Mus musculus: one gene and its partners. The main gene of each other region encodes a partner of the protein of the gene in region 3 in a complex. Links are inferred from orthologs where the notes say so. Each region holds a gene or a part of one and is shown on either strand. Other genes may lie near its edges.

Region 1 (3,517 bases), on a different chromosome or scaffold from region 3:
TCAGGACACAGCATGAGGAGCTCTTTATTCCCCTCCCTCCCACAGGGAGGAAACTGTGAGCAAAATAGATCTTTCCCCTTTCAGGTTATTCTGTCAGGAATGGTCACAGCAAGCAATAAACTAGCAGAAGTTGGCCTGGTGATGATGAATGCCTTTAATCCCAACAGGGCAGGTGTATCCCTGCCTGAGTCTGAGGCCAGCCTGGTCTACAGGGCAAGTTCCTGGACAGCCAGGGCTACAGTTTTAAAGAAACAAAACAAGACAAACAAACAGCGACAAAAATTAACACAGAATACATTTGGAATGTGTGTACCTGAAAGCAATAGACAGTTTGGTTCTTTAGTAAGAATGCTTCCCCTCTCTCTCCGGGTATAAACCAAGGTGTGCCTTTTTTACTTCTACAAAAAAAATTAGGGGCTAGATTGATGGTTCAGTTGTTAAAATCATGGACTGCTCTTCCAAAGGCCCTGAGTTCAATTCTCAGCAACTACGCCCTCTTCTGGGGTGTCTGAAGACAACTACAGTGTACTCATATACATAAAATAAATAAATAAACCTTTAAAAAATTATTATTTTTATCGCCGGGCGTGGTGGCGCACGCCTTTAATCCCAGCACTCGGGAGGCAGAGGCAGGCGGATTTCTGAGTTCGAGGCCAGCCTGGTCTACAGAGTGAGTTCCAGGACAGCCAGGGCTATACAGAGAAACCCTGTCTCGAAAAACCAAAAAAAAAAAAAAAAAAAAAAAATTATTATTTTTTATGTGTATGTGTGTTTTGTCTATATGTGTTTCTGTGCACCATCTGTGCACAGTGCCTGAGGAGGCCAGAAGAGGATGATGGAGCCATTGGAAGTGGAACTACAAGCAGTTGTAGGCTGCTACCTCAATGCTGGAAATCAGACCTGGGTCCTCTGGAAGAACAGCTAGTGCTCTCAACCATTGAGCCAGCCCTCCAACTCCCTTCCTACATTAAGAATTTGGGCTGGAGAGATCACTCAAAGGTTAAGAGCACTGACTGCTCTTGCAGAGGTCCTGAGTTCAATTCCCAGCAACCACATGATAGCTCACATCCATCTATAATGAGATCTGGTGCCCTCTTCTGACATGCAGATATATATGCAGAACTATATATGCTGTGTATATAATAAATAAATCTTTATAAAAAGAAAGAAAGAAAGAAAGAAAGAAAGAAAGAAAGAAAGAAAGAAAGGAAGGAAGAAAGGAAGGAAGGAAGAAAGAAAGAAAGAAAATTCATGATGGGGCTGGAGAGATGGTTTAGTGGTTTAGAGCACTGACTACTCTTCTAAGGACGTGGGCTTGGGTCCAGCACTGCACATTTATGGTGCCCAACATCCATTCAGGCAGAACACTCGTACACATAAGAAGAACTAAATGCTATATTTCTAAGCTTAAATTTCTTGTCCTTTGAAGGCTGTGATAAGCCTAGGCCTGAAGGTGCTGGACTACAAGGGCATCCTTACGTTGTATCTGATGTCCAGGCCACGGTAGCTCAGTGGCTGCTTCTGTTGCAGCCTCAGGTCGCCATTCACATATAACTGTGACCCAGGGACAGCAAAGGAGGACTGGAGAAAGGCCATGCTCTGCATCTCGAATGTTGACATCCTCTAAAATCATTAGGGAGAGAGATGATGACATTGTCAGGTCTGAAGAGCCTGGGGGTCCACAACTCACTTGTCAGCAGCTGAAGATGATAGGCCCGGCATGAGTGTGTTAGCCCACTCAGGAACTTTCTGCCCAGAAAGGCCTATTACTTTGAATACTCAATTTGTCTATGTTAAGTTCCTAGTCACTTTCCATAGAAGAGCCATCTGCAGTGTGGCTCTCCCTAGGGAGAAGGAGGAGGAGAAGGAGAGATGACTCAGAGGTTAAGAGCACTGACTGCTCTTGCAGAGGTCCTGAGTTCAATTCCCAGCAACCACATGGTGGCTCACATCCATCTATAATGAGATCTGGTGCCCTCTTCTGACATGCAGACATATATGTGAGGACAGACTCACGTGCAGTTGGTAGGAGAAGGTCAGGATTAGCTGCACACCGAGGACATGCTCTGTGGGTTGCAGGGGAAGTTCAAGTTTAAAGTACAGCACATCCATTTTTCCATCCTGGTTCCGGTCTTCTTCTCTGGACTACAAAAGAAGAGATTTACTTTCTTAGAGAATTGTTATAGCTGGACAGTGGTGGCACACACATCTTTAATCCCAGCATTTGGGAGGCAGAGACAAGCAGATCTGAGTTCAAGGCCAGCCTGGTCTACAAAGTGAGCCAGTGCTATACAGAGAAACCCTGTCTTGGAAAACCAAAAACCAACCAACCAACCAACCAACAAACAAACAACAACAACAAAAAGAAAGAAAGAAAAGAAAAAGAAAAAGAAGGGCTAGAGAGACGTCTCAGTGGTTAAGACCACTGACTGCTCTTCTGGAGGTCCTGAGTCCAATTCCCAGCAACCACATGGTGGCTCACAACCATCTGTAATGGGATCCGATGCCCTCTTCTGGTGTGTCTGAAGAGAGCTACATTGTACTCACATACATGAAATAAATAAAAACAAACAAACAAAACCAAACACCTACATACAACCCCCCCAAAAAAACCAAACAAAATCAGTTATTTATTTTAGTTATATGTGTGGGTGGGTGGGTGGGTGGGTGGGGACTATGCAAGCCAGAAGACGCTGTTAGATGCCCTGGGGCTCAAGGTATAGGTGACTATGAGCTGCCTGAGGAAGGTGAAAACTTTGGGTCCTCTGTAAGGACAGATTTGAGCCCTGTCTCCAGCCCCTAGAGAGGAGTTTCTTTTTCCTCTCCCTCCTTGCTCTTATTCCTGTTGTTCTTTGTTTAGGGAGCTAGGGATTGGCTAGGGTCTCTTACACACTAGACTAGAGCTGACCACTGTGTGCTAGCTCCATCTCCAAGTCAGTCTGTCCAAATGGAAAGAGCAGGGCTGGAGAGCTGGCTCGGCCATTAAGAGGTCCCAGAGTTCAATTCCCAGCAACCACAAGGTGGCTCACTACCATCTGTGATGGGATCTGATGCCCTCTTCTGGCACACAGGTGTACATGCAGATGGAGCACGCACACAAAATAAATAAGTAAACCTTAAAAAAAAAAAAAATAGAAAAAACCCCCCAAAGTCTAACTCTAATCATCATGTGTTTACCAAGCAAGTGCTATTCAATCCACCAAGCTCTATTTATACATTTTGTTAAGATTTATTTTTATGTGTATAAATGTTTGCATGCACATATGTCTGTGCACTGAATGCATGCCTGCTATACACAGAGGTCAGAAGGGTTCTGGAAGAGGCCCTGAAAGTGTTGTTGCAGATGGCTGTGAGCTATCATGTGGGTGCTGGAAACTACACTCAGGTCCTCTGCAGAAGCAAGATCAGCCAGTGCTCTTAACCACTGAGCCGTTATGTGTAGCCCCTATTTGCACATCCTAAATCTCGAGTGACTTTGCTTCAGATACTTAAGGTTGGTTGGTTGGACTATCTGTCT
Region 2 (3,517 bases), on a different chromosome or scaffold from region 3:
CACTGAAAAGAGAAGAAGAGAAAGGAAAAGAATAGTGTATGGAAATAGCCCAAGGACTCGTCTCTAAGAAAGTGTTAGCAAGGAGAATATTTTCATATAAGTTGCAAAACCTGAGATAAAGATTAATGTTTAAACATAAGCTACTGTGATTTGTTTCTTTATGTTAATGGATTTGAAATATTTTGAAATAACTTTAACCATTGTGTTTTAATATAGGAAAATAACTATATTATATAGTTACATACATTTTATATATATATATATATGTTGTAAATAATAACATATATCATATAAAATACAACAGCATACTTAAAAATATGCTGGAAGTTACATAACAGTAATGTTTGTACCTAAAAATGACTACAAAGAATAACCAATCACATTTAGTAGAATTTTATAACTGGAAGTCAGGAGAAATCCAGCCCGGTCAGTGCCCCTTCTCTCAGTGAGGAAACTGCAGTGCACAAGCGTGTGTGCAGCTAGTAACAAATCTAGTTGAGTAAACGGCATATTTCTTTCACTCCAAGTTCAGGACTCTTTCCATTATATTCGTGGGTAATTTCTTATGTGGCTCTTTAGAAATCCAAGAATGATCTATTGTTTCAACAATTTTCTCTGATTTCAGGAAAACCCAGCCAGCTGAGCCACAGTATGCTAGCGAGCTAGGGGTGGAAGATGAAGACATACTCACAGATGAGCAGAGCACTCTAGAACATCACTCTAGGTTCACGGCACCCACCGGAGTTAGCCAGCCTGTTGGCAAAGTATTTGTGGAAAAAAGCCGTAAGTAACTCCTTGTTTTGGAATACAATTGCTCTAAATATTGTATAGGGATATCTTTAACCTGGTGATGATAGTTCTGATGACCTGAGTGAAGGAAATAATAAAGTAATGTAGAGGAAAATTGACACACAAAACTAGTCATTATGCTATTGTTTTTTTTCCCAACTGGATTTTATTTGTTTTAAAATACATTTTTAAATAAATAAGTCCCATTAGTGACTGTGTTCTCTGTGCTCCCAGGGAGGTTTCAGGCGGCGGACCGTTCCGAGTTGATAAAGACCACAGAAAACATAGATGTGTCAATGGACGTGAAGCCATCTTGGACTACCCGAGATGTGGCACTTTCTGTGCACCGAGCTTTCAGGTGGCTGCCTTTTGTTGGTGTTCGTTAAGCAGATGTTAATTGGATATCATCATTTAAAACCAAAGAAAAAAGCCTTGGTTGTTCTGTACTTTGTAAACAGTTTGACAATTTAAAATGGTATGTAGATTTAGTTTTGTAGACATTCCACTTGTGCTTCTCATAATATGTTAAATTGTATTATATTTGAGGAGATTTTAAAAATACCTTAGCCTTTTATTTTAGTGGCTAATATATAATTAAACTTTTCTCCTTCTTATCTTTGAGTACTTTTCATAATTTATTTATTGACTTTACATACCAATCACAGCACCGCTTCCTCCTGTCCACCCCGTCCTGCCCATATGTCCCTCTCCTGATTACCTGCTCCCTCTCTCCTCAGAGAAGAGTAAGTTCCCACCCCACCCTGGGACCTCCATTCCCACAGTAATTAAACTCTTCTGTGCAGGATGGTCGGTCTGTTCTCTCATGGCTTCTTGGCTGGCTGTGCTGTGTGGAATACTGTTGTGATCTACGTTCTTGCAGGAGATCAGCTGTCTAATGTCTCCAACCTTCTGCAGCAGTACAAGCCCTTGGCTTATCCCTTCCAGAGCCTTCTTTACTTGCTTTTGGCTCTAAGTACAGTTTCAGCATTTGATAGGTAAGGCTGTTGTGAATGTGGGGCCTTCTAACCTTCCTTTAGGAAGAAATAGTGAGCAATATATGTCACTATGACTTTTCAAGGTAGAATGTTTGTTTTTTAAACCAGTCTTTGGATTAGCATGGCCTTATCTTCATTTCAAAGTATCCATAGAGATCTCATTTCCAAATAAAGTCACCTTCATAAGGACTAAGGTTAGACCATCACCACTTATTTTGGGAAACACATAGGTCAACCCATTTTAAAAAATATCAGCAGGACTGGGGAGATGGCTCCATGGGTAAAGATGCCTGCTCTCATGCCTGCTGTCCTCAGTTTGCTACTACCTAGGACCCATATTGTGGTAGGAGACAACCAACTCCTACCTCCACATGTGCACCAAAGCTCATAACTCAAGGTGTGTGTGTGTGTGTGTGTGTGTGGCGGTAGGTAGACTAGAGAAGGGAACACCACCGAGGGAAGTACATTGTGTTACAGCTGCACAGTGACAAAGCTTTCATCTCATTCTAGGACTGACTTTGCTAAAATATCAGTAGCAATCCGGAACTTTTTGGCCCTGGAACCAACAGCTTTAGCTTCTTTTCGTGAGTAATAGTTACTGTGATAACTATGTTATAATTGAGGAGCAATTCTGTCACTTTGAATCAAGAAAAATATTGTATAGAAGGTTTATATTATTTCTTCATATAAACCATTAGATCAATGAATTTGTAATTTAAAATGTGGTAGGAGTAATTTTTTTAGAACTATTCTTTTGTTTTTGTTTTTGAGGTAGGATCTGTTACATAGCTCAGGCTGGCCTTGAACTTTGTGTGTGGTTGAGAATAGCCTTGAACTTCTCATTCTGTTTGCTCTCCTTTAAATGCTGGGATTTGTAACCACCCAGTGCCGTGCCTGGCTTGCAAGTGTTTCTTATTTGAAGATCATCCAAATGACTTTCAGAAGTTGAATGTATATGTGAGATGCTGGGTTTAATGTTCTGCACCAAAAGTAATAAGTAATGTTAAATGTGTGGCCTTCATTACTTATTCAGCTTCTGTGTTTTCCACTTGGTAGACACAGCTGGCATGGCCTTTTAGTAATGAATACCATTTTATATATTTCTGGCATTCTACAGTACATTTTTTGTAGGTTACAAGATTCTATTAAAGCGAGTTTGAGGACCTTGAACAAGTAATTTAAATTCTTAAAATCCTTTTAGGCTCTTTCTTGCCAGTTCCAATGATAAAATTGTACTCACCTATTACACTCTGCACCGTATTATCTACATAATAAAAGCTGCCTAGTGGCATTAAATGTATTTCTTTTGTATAATCATTCACCAAAGTGTGGCTTATTTTGGTCTTAAAATTCAATATAAACAGCAGTCAAATTTATTAGTAATTTCACTTCTTCCCCCTCAGTGTATTTTACTGCTCTAATACTATCTCTGAGTCAGCAAATGACAAGTGACAGAATCCACCTTTACGAACCTTCTGTCAATGGAAGCCTCTGGTAAGAATCTACAGTAATATGCTAACAGCAGCAGTGGGGGAGGAGGAGGGCAATGATACCATTCCACATTTTCATCTGTAGATCATAACAAGGCTATGTTTCTGTTTATAATAAACCATGAGAAGAAAACACCTGTTCTGTTGGTTAATGGATAATGACCTTTTTATATTTTTACTTTTGTTTTTCTTGACATGTAGTTTCAAGTAGCCAAACCTCCTTATGTAGGTGAGGCTGGCTTT
Region 3 (4,240 bases):
CATAGAGTAATGGAAGAGAATGTAAAACAAGCCCACAAGGGCTCAGGGACACAGGCTAAGACACAGGTATCCCCACAGCCTAATCATGTTCCTCTTCTTGCCTATAAACTCCTGACTTTGACTGAATTGTAAATGGATTGTTCTAGACCCTGCCCATCTATGTCATCAATTCCTATGCTATCAGGTCCCATGGGCCCTCTGACAGGCAGAAGGACATCACCTGCATCTGCCCACTGCAGCCTGGCTGCCAGCAGCTTCCAGCAGCTTCTAGAACCATCTATGTTCTATATCGCCCCATTTACTGGGCTTTCCACTTACAACCTAGAGCCAGCGAGGCTAGAAAACCAGGGGAGACAAACAAGAAAGCAATGAGGGCCCAGAAGGAATGATACCTCTTCCAAGTCGGTGTATCTATCCGAGTCAGTGTAAGTGAAGATTCGCCGGTTTTTCCTGCCGCCAGAATTCTCCAGTTTCAAGATCTCTTGGCGGTACTGATGATCCAGTGGGCTCTGGCACGCGGATTCATTTTGGTACAGGTCGACTTCAAACTGAGGTCACCACAAAGAAACAGATCAGCTGGGACTACCTCAAACTTCGGTTCCTGCAGCTACTGAACCAAATCACTTCTAGCGCTAGCTGACACGTTTTGAAAACCGACTGTCACTTTGTTCAAAAAATGAAGGGCAGGGGGAAAAAAATCTAAGAATATTCGAGTTAAAAGGATCCAAGCTGATGTTCTAATCCAACCTTGTTGCTAGAGATGTTATAGAGCCCGGAGATGGGGAGTGCCTTACCTAGAACGCTAAACTGAACATGGCAGCCGTTATATTACAATAGCCACATAAACATAACATAAACATAAGTATAAGCCACCACAACCTTTCCTGGAGATGAGTTTGACGGTATGAGTCACTGGCCCGGTGGGAGTCAGGTAGGTGGAGGTAGACTGAAGACAAGAAATGCTGGCTCACCTGGCTAAAGAGCTTTTCCTGCCATCCAATTACAACCTCTTCCTCCTCTTCTTCGTCAGGGCGGTGTCCACCTCCAAACACAACAGAGTGAGTCAGACCAGCAACATTTCTTCCTCTCTGGTTGATTACAACCAGTGTTCCTATTCTTGTCTCATTTGGGTTTTAAAATTTTTTGCTATTGTTGTTTGGAAGTGTCTCATTCTGCAGCCCGGTCTGACCTCACATTCCAGATCCTCCTGCCTCGGCAGAAAAACGCTGACATTACACGTGTATACCACCAGGTCTGCCTTCAAAGTCCCTACTCACATTGACCGCAAACCCCACTGGAATTTAGTGACTCACTAAGCGCTCACTCTAAACATAGAATGCAGGTGGTGGACATACTTTGGTTAATACTAGAAGCAAGATTAGGGCCTGAGGTGTCCTAATCATTACTCTAATTTGAATAAAAGGTAGCTCTGCCTTCCAAGAAACATTCTCTAGTCCCGTATAAGGCACTAGAGTTTAGCTAGAGGCTGAAGGGCCAGCCCTTCCTCAATCCTGGCTGAATTTGCTAGATAAGGACCCTGATGTTTTTCTGAAACCACCACCGAATCATCCAGAAACACAAGATGCATGATTTGTGATCTGCCAGGCTACCCTTTTTGCCTAAGAATATTTCTGAGTAGAAAGAACAATGACAAAAGCATGAAAAATTATTGGCCAAACACGACGGTCCTGTCCTTTCTTTTGGCTTTCAAGGCAAGAGGAAAAAATCATATTTTCGTGCAAACTCCTGTTTTAAAATTGTTTTTTAAGTGTATTTATACATACATTTGGAGTTTGGAACATATTTCTCTTAGAAGTCCTTTCCCCATCCCCCAAGTCACAACTCGGGTAAGATGGCTCAAGCCCCAGGATTCATCTGGTGAAGAGATAACTGAACTGGTTCGCAAAAGTTATCCCCTGAACTTCACTCTCGCACTGTGGCATGGGCGTGCACACACACACAAAAGTAAATTACAATGTAAAAAAATAAATAAATAATAAAAAATTAAAAAGATGATTGCCCAGGTTCATTCAAATGCTTCTATATTCCTCGGCTAGGTGACACTGGGCAATAAACTCAACCTCTCTGAGCCTTCCGTTCCTCCTCTGTACCTCTACTGCCCCGCACCCCTGCCTTAGTCTCAAATGAATGTAGCGTCATCACAAACACCCACTAGCAGCTTGCGGAGGCCTAAAAGTGGCCAAGTCTATGAGGTCCTTCCCCATCTGGGCAGCAGGCTGGTAATGAAGGAAGTTGCTTGATGTGATTCTTTGCAGATGAACTCTGTCAAGAGAAGAGAAGCCCCAAATACGCGTGTCAGAGACACACAGCAAGGAGATATACAGAGCATGAATCGGGGAAAGAAATCACAGAGGCAGAGAAGTCAAGGCTGCTGCAAAGAAGAGGTGGGTAGGGGCGTCTGCTGGATAAATCAGCACAGGGACCCGAGGGGTTTGAAAGTGGCGAGAACTTGAAGGGACTTGGGCAGGGTGAATCTGAAAGGTGTACTTGGAAGCTTTCAGTGGAAAAAGATCCTGATAACAAGACGCGCGCAGAGATGGCAGAGGAAGTAGTTGGGATTGTAAGCGGAAGTAGGGGCCTCTGAGCATCTAAAAGCTTAGGGTGGAATAAAGTTAGGGGGCCTCGGAGCATAAAGTTAGGGGGCCCTGAAACTGGGGTCGAGTGACTACCGGAGGCGCAGGTTGCGCACGGGGTCCCGGGAGCGATACACGGCCTCGCCGGTGTCAGTGCTCCAGACCGCTTCCGCCATGACAGCTGCTTCGCGCTGCGACCGCGCCGGAAAGCGTGGTGCCTCGTTCCCCTGGCAACGGAGACGCTGGCTTCTTAGGCAAGGGAGGCGCTGCGCGCGCAGCTCTCCACGTCTGCGGGAGCCAGTCCCTAGCCTGGCAGCGGGACCCTCAGCTGTCCTGTGTGAGTAAAGCTCACCTCCACCCAAGGTGAAAGTTGGTGCACTGCACAAAAGAGAAAACCGCCATCAGCTACTTTGTTTAGGTGCAAAAATGGTGATGGTGGCCAGAACCAGGTGACCTGAGTCCTTACTTTCTGATCAAACACTGCCTTCCACTGAACATTTGAAAACTTCGGCCTAGGGGGCGTGGAGAAATGGCTTAGTGGTTAAGAGGTTAGTGACTGGACTTTCAGAGGAACTAGCAGGCCCAGATGGCCACTCACACCTGTCTCTACTCCAGTTCCAAAGGGTCAGACACCTTGCCGCCTTACAGTACACATGTGTTGCACAAACATGTTCACCATTATGCATAAAATAAATTTAAAAAAATTTAAGGAGAGAAAACTCAGGCCTAAACAGTTGGTGGATATGACTAAAAGGACATGCAAACAAAAATTAAAAAACAGCCGGGCAGTGGTAGCGCACGCCTTTAATCCCAGCACTTGAGAGGCAGAGGCAGGCAGATTGCTGAGTTCGAGGCCAGCCTGGTCTACAGAGTGAGTTCCAGGACAGCCAGGGCTATACAGAGAAACCCTGTCTCAGGAAAAAGAAAAGAAAAGACAGGAAAAGAAAAGAGAAAGAAGAAGGAGGAGGAGGAGGAGGAGGAGGAGGAGGAGGAGGAGGAGGAGGAGGAGGAGGAGGAGGAGGAGGAGGAGAAGAAGAAGAAGAAGAAGAAGAAGAAGAAGAAGAAGAAGAAGAAGAAGAAGAAGAAGAAGAAGAAGAAGAAGAAGAAGAAGAGAAAGAAAGAAAAAGAAAAAAAGAAAGAAAACATTCCTGGAAGAAAAAAAACCTGTGGGGCAGGTATATTAGTAGTTTTGTTGGTATGCACTGAGCCAGAGAAATAAAAAACAAGGAAGCCAGCAGAAAGGAAGGAAAGGGTGTTTTCCCTGGGGCATGTTGGTTCTGGATTATTAACCAGTTAAGACTCCGAGCCAGCCCCTGAAAAACCACCAGAGTGACATTCAGAAGTCATGGTTCACTGGCACATCCAAGGAAAGATGGTATAAGTTTAATTCCGGCAGTTTGGCAATATCAATATTGACAATTAGTATTTGACGGTTGCTACTTATTCATCCGAATAAGCAATTGTTGCCTGGCCTGGGACATTTCATGGCCATCCGATTATAGAGCAGAGAAATCATGAGCACCTAACTATTCATTGTGTGCACTAAGAACTCACCACAAATAGCACCTACTCATTTTTCATTTGTATTGCCTGTAACCCTCCCAAAAACCTCTCCAAGAGGTACTTTATTCCTATTTAAAGGATGA

The links. Proteins that work in one complex are often made in the same cells at the same time.
Region 1: Mks1 (region 3) and Tmem231 share a complex: the UniProt entries of both Homo sapiens proteins name them as parts of the tectonic-like complex. The link is inferred for Mus musculus from reciprocal best matches to the Homo sapiens genes MKS1 and TMEM231.
Region 2: Mks1 (region 3) and Tmem237 share a complex: the UniProt entries of both Homo sapiens proteins name them as parts of the tectonic-like complex. The link is inferred for Mus musculus from reciprocal best matches to the Homo sapiens genes MKS1 and TMEM237.

Annotation. Positions count from the first base shown.
Region 1 is NC_000074.6:111,916,812-111,920,328, forward strand, and holds part of Tmem231 (transmembrane protein 231), read right to left. Parts: intron 2,146-3,517; coding exon 2,017-2,145; intron 1,624-2,016; coding exon 1,480-1,623; intron 1-1,479. UniProt on the Homo sapiens protein: Transmembrane component of the tectonic-like complex, a complex localized at the transition zone of primary cilia and acting as a barrier that prevents diffusion of transmembrane proteins between the cilia and plasma membranes.
Region 2 is NC_000067.6:59,106,305-59,109,821, reverse strand, and holds part of Tmem237 (transmembrane protein 237), read left to right. Parts: intron 1-625; coding exon 626-783; intron 784-1,023; coding exon 1,024-1,147; intron 1,148-1,592; coding exon 1,593-1,784; intron 1,785-2,294; coding exon 2,295-2,368; intron 2,369-3,187; coding exon 3,188-3,278; intron 3,279-3,517. UniProt on the Homo sapiens protein: Component of the transition zone in primary cilia. Required for ciliogenesis.
Region 3 is NC_000077.6:87,851,780-87,856,019, reverse strand, and holds the start of Mks1 (Meckel syndrome type 1 protein homolog), read right to left. Parts: upstream 2,806-4,240; 5' UTR 2,771-2,805; coding exon 2,691-2,770; intron 2,284-2,690; coding exon 2,174-2,283; intron 1,043-2,173; coding exon 972-1,042; intron 549-971; coding exon 393-548; intron 1-392. UniProt on the Homo sapiens protein: Component of the tectonic-like complex, a complex localized at the transition zone of primary cilia and acting as a barrier that prevents diffusion of transmembrane proteins between the cilia and plasma membranes.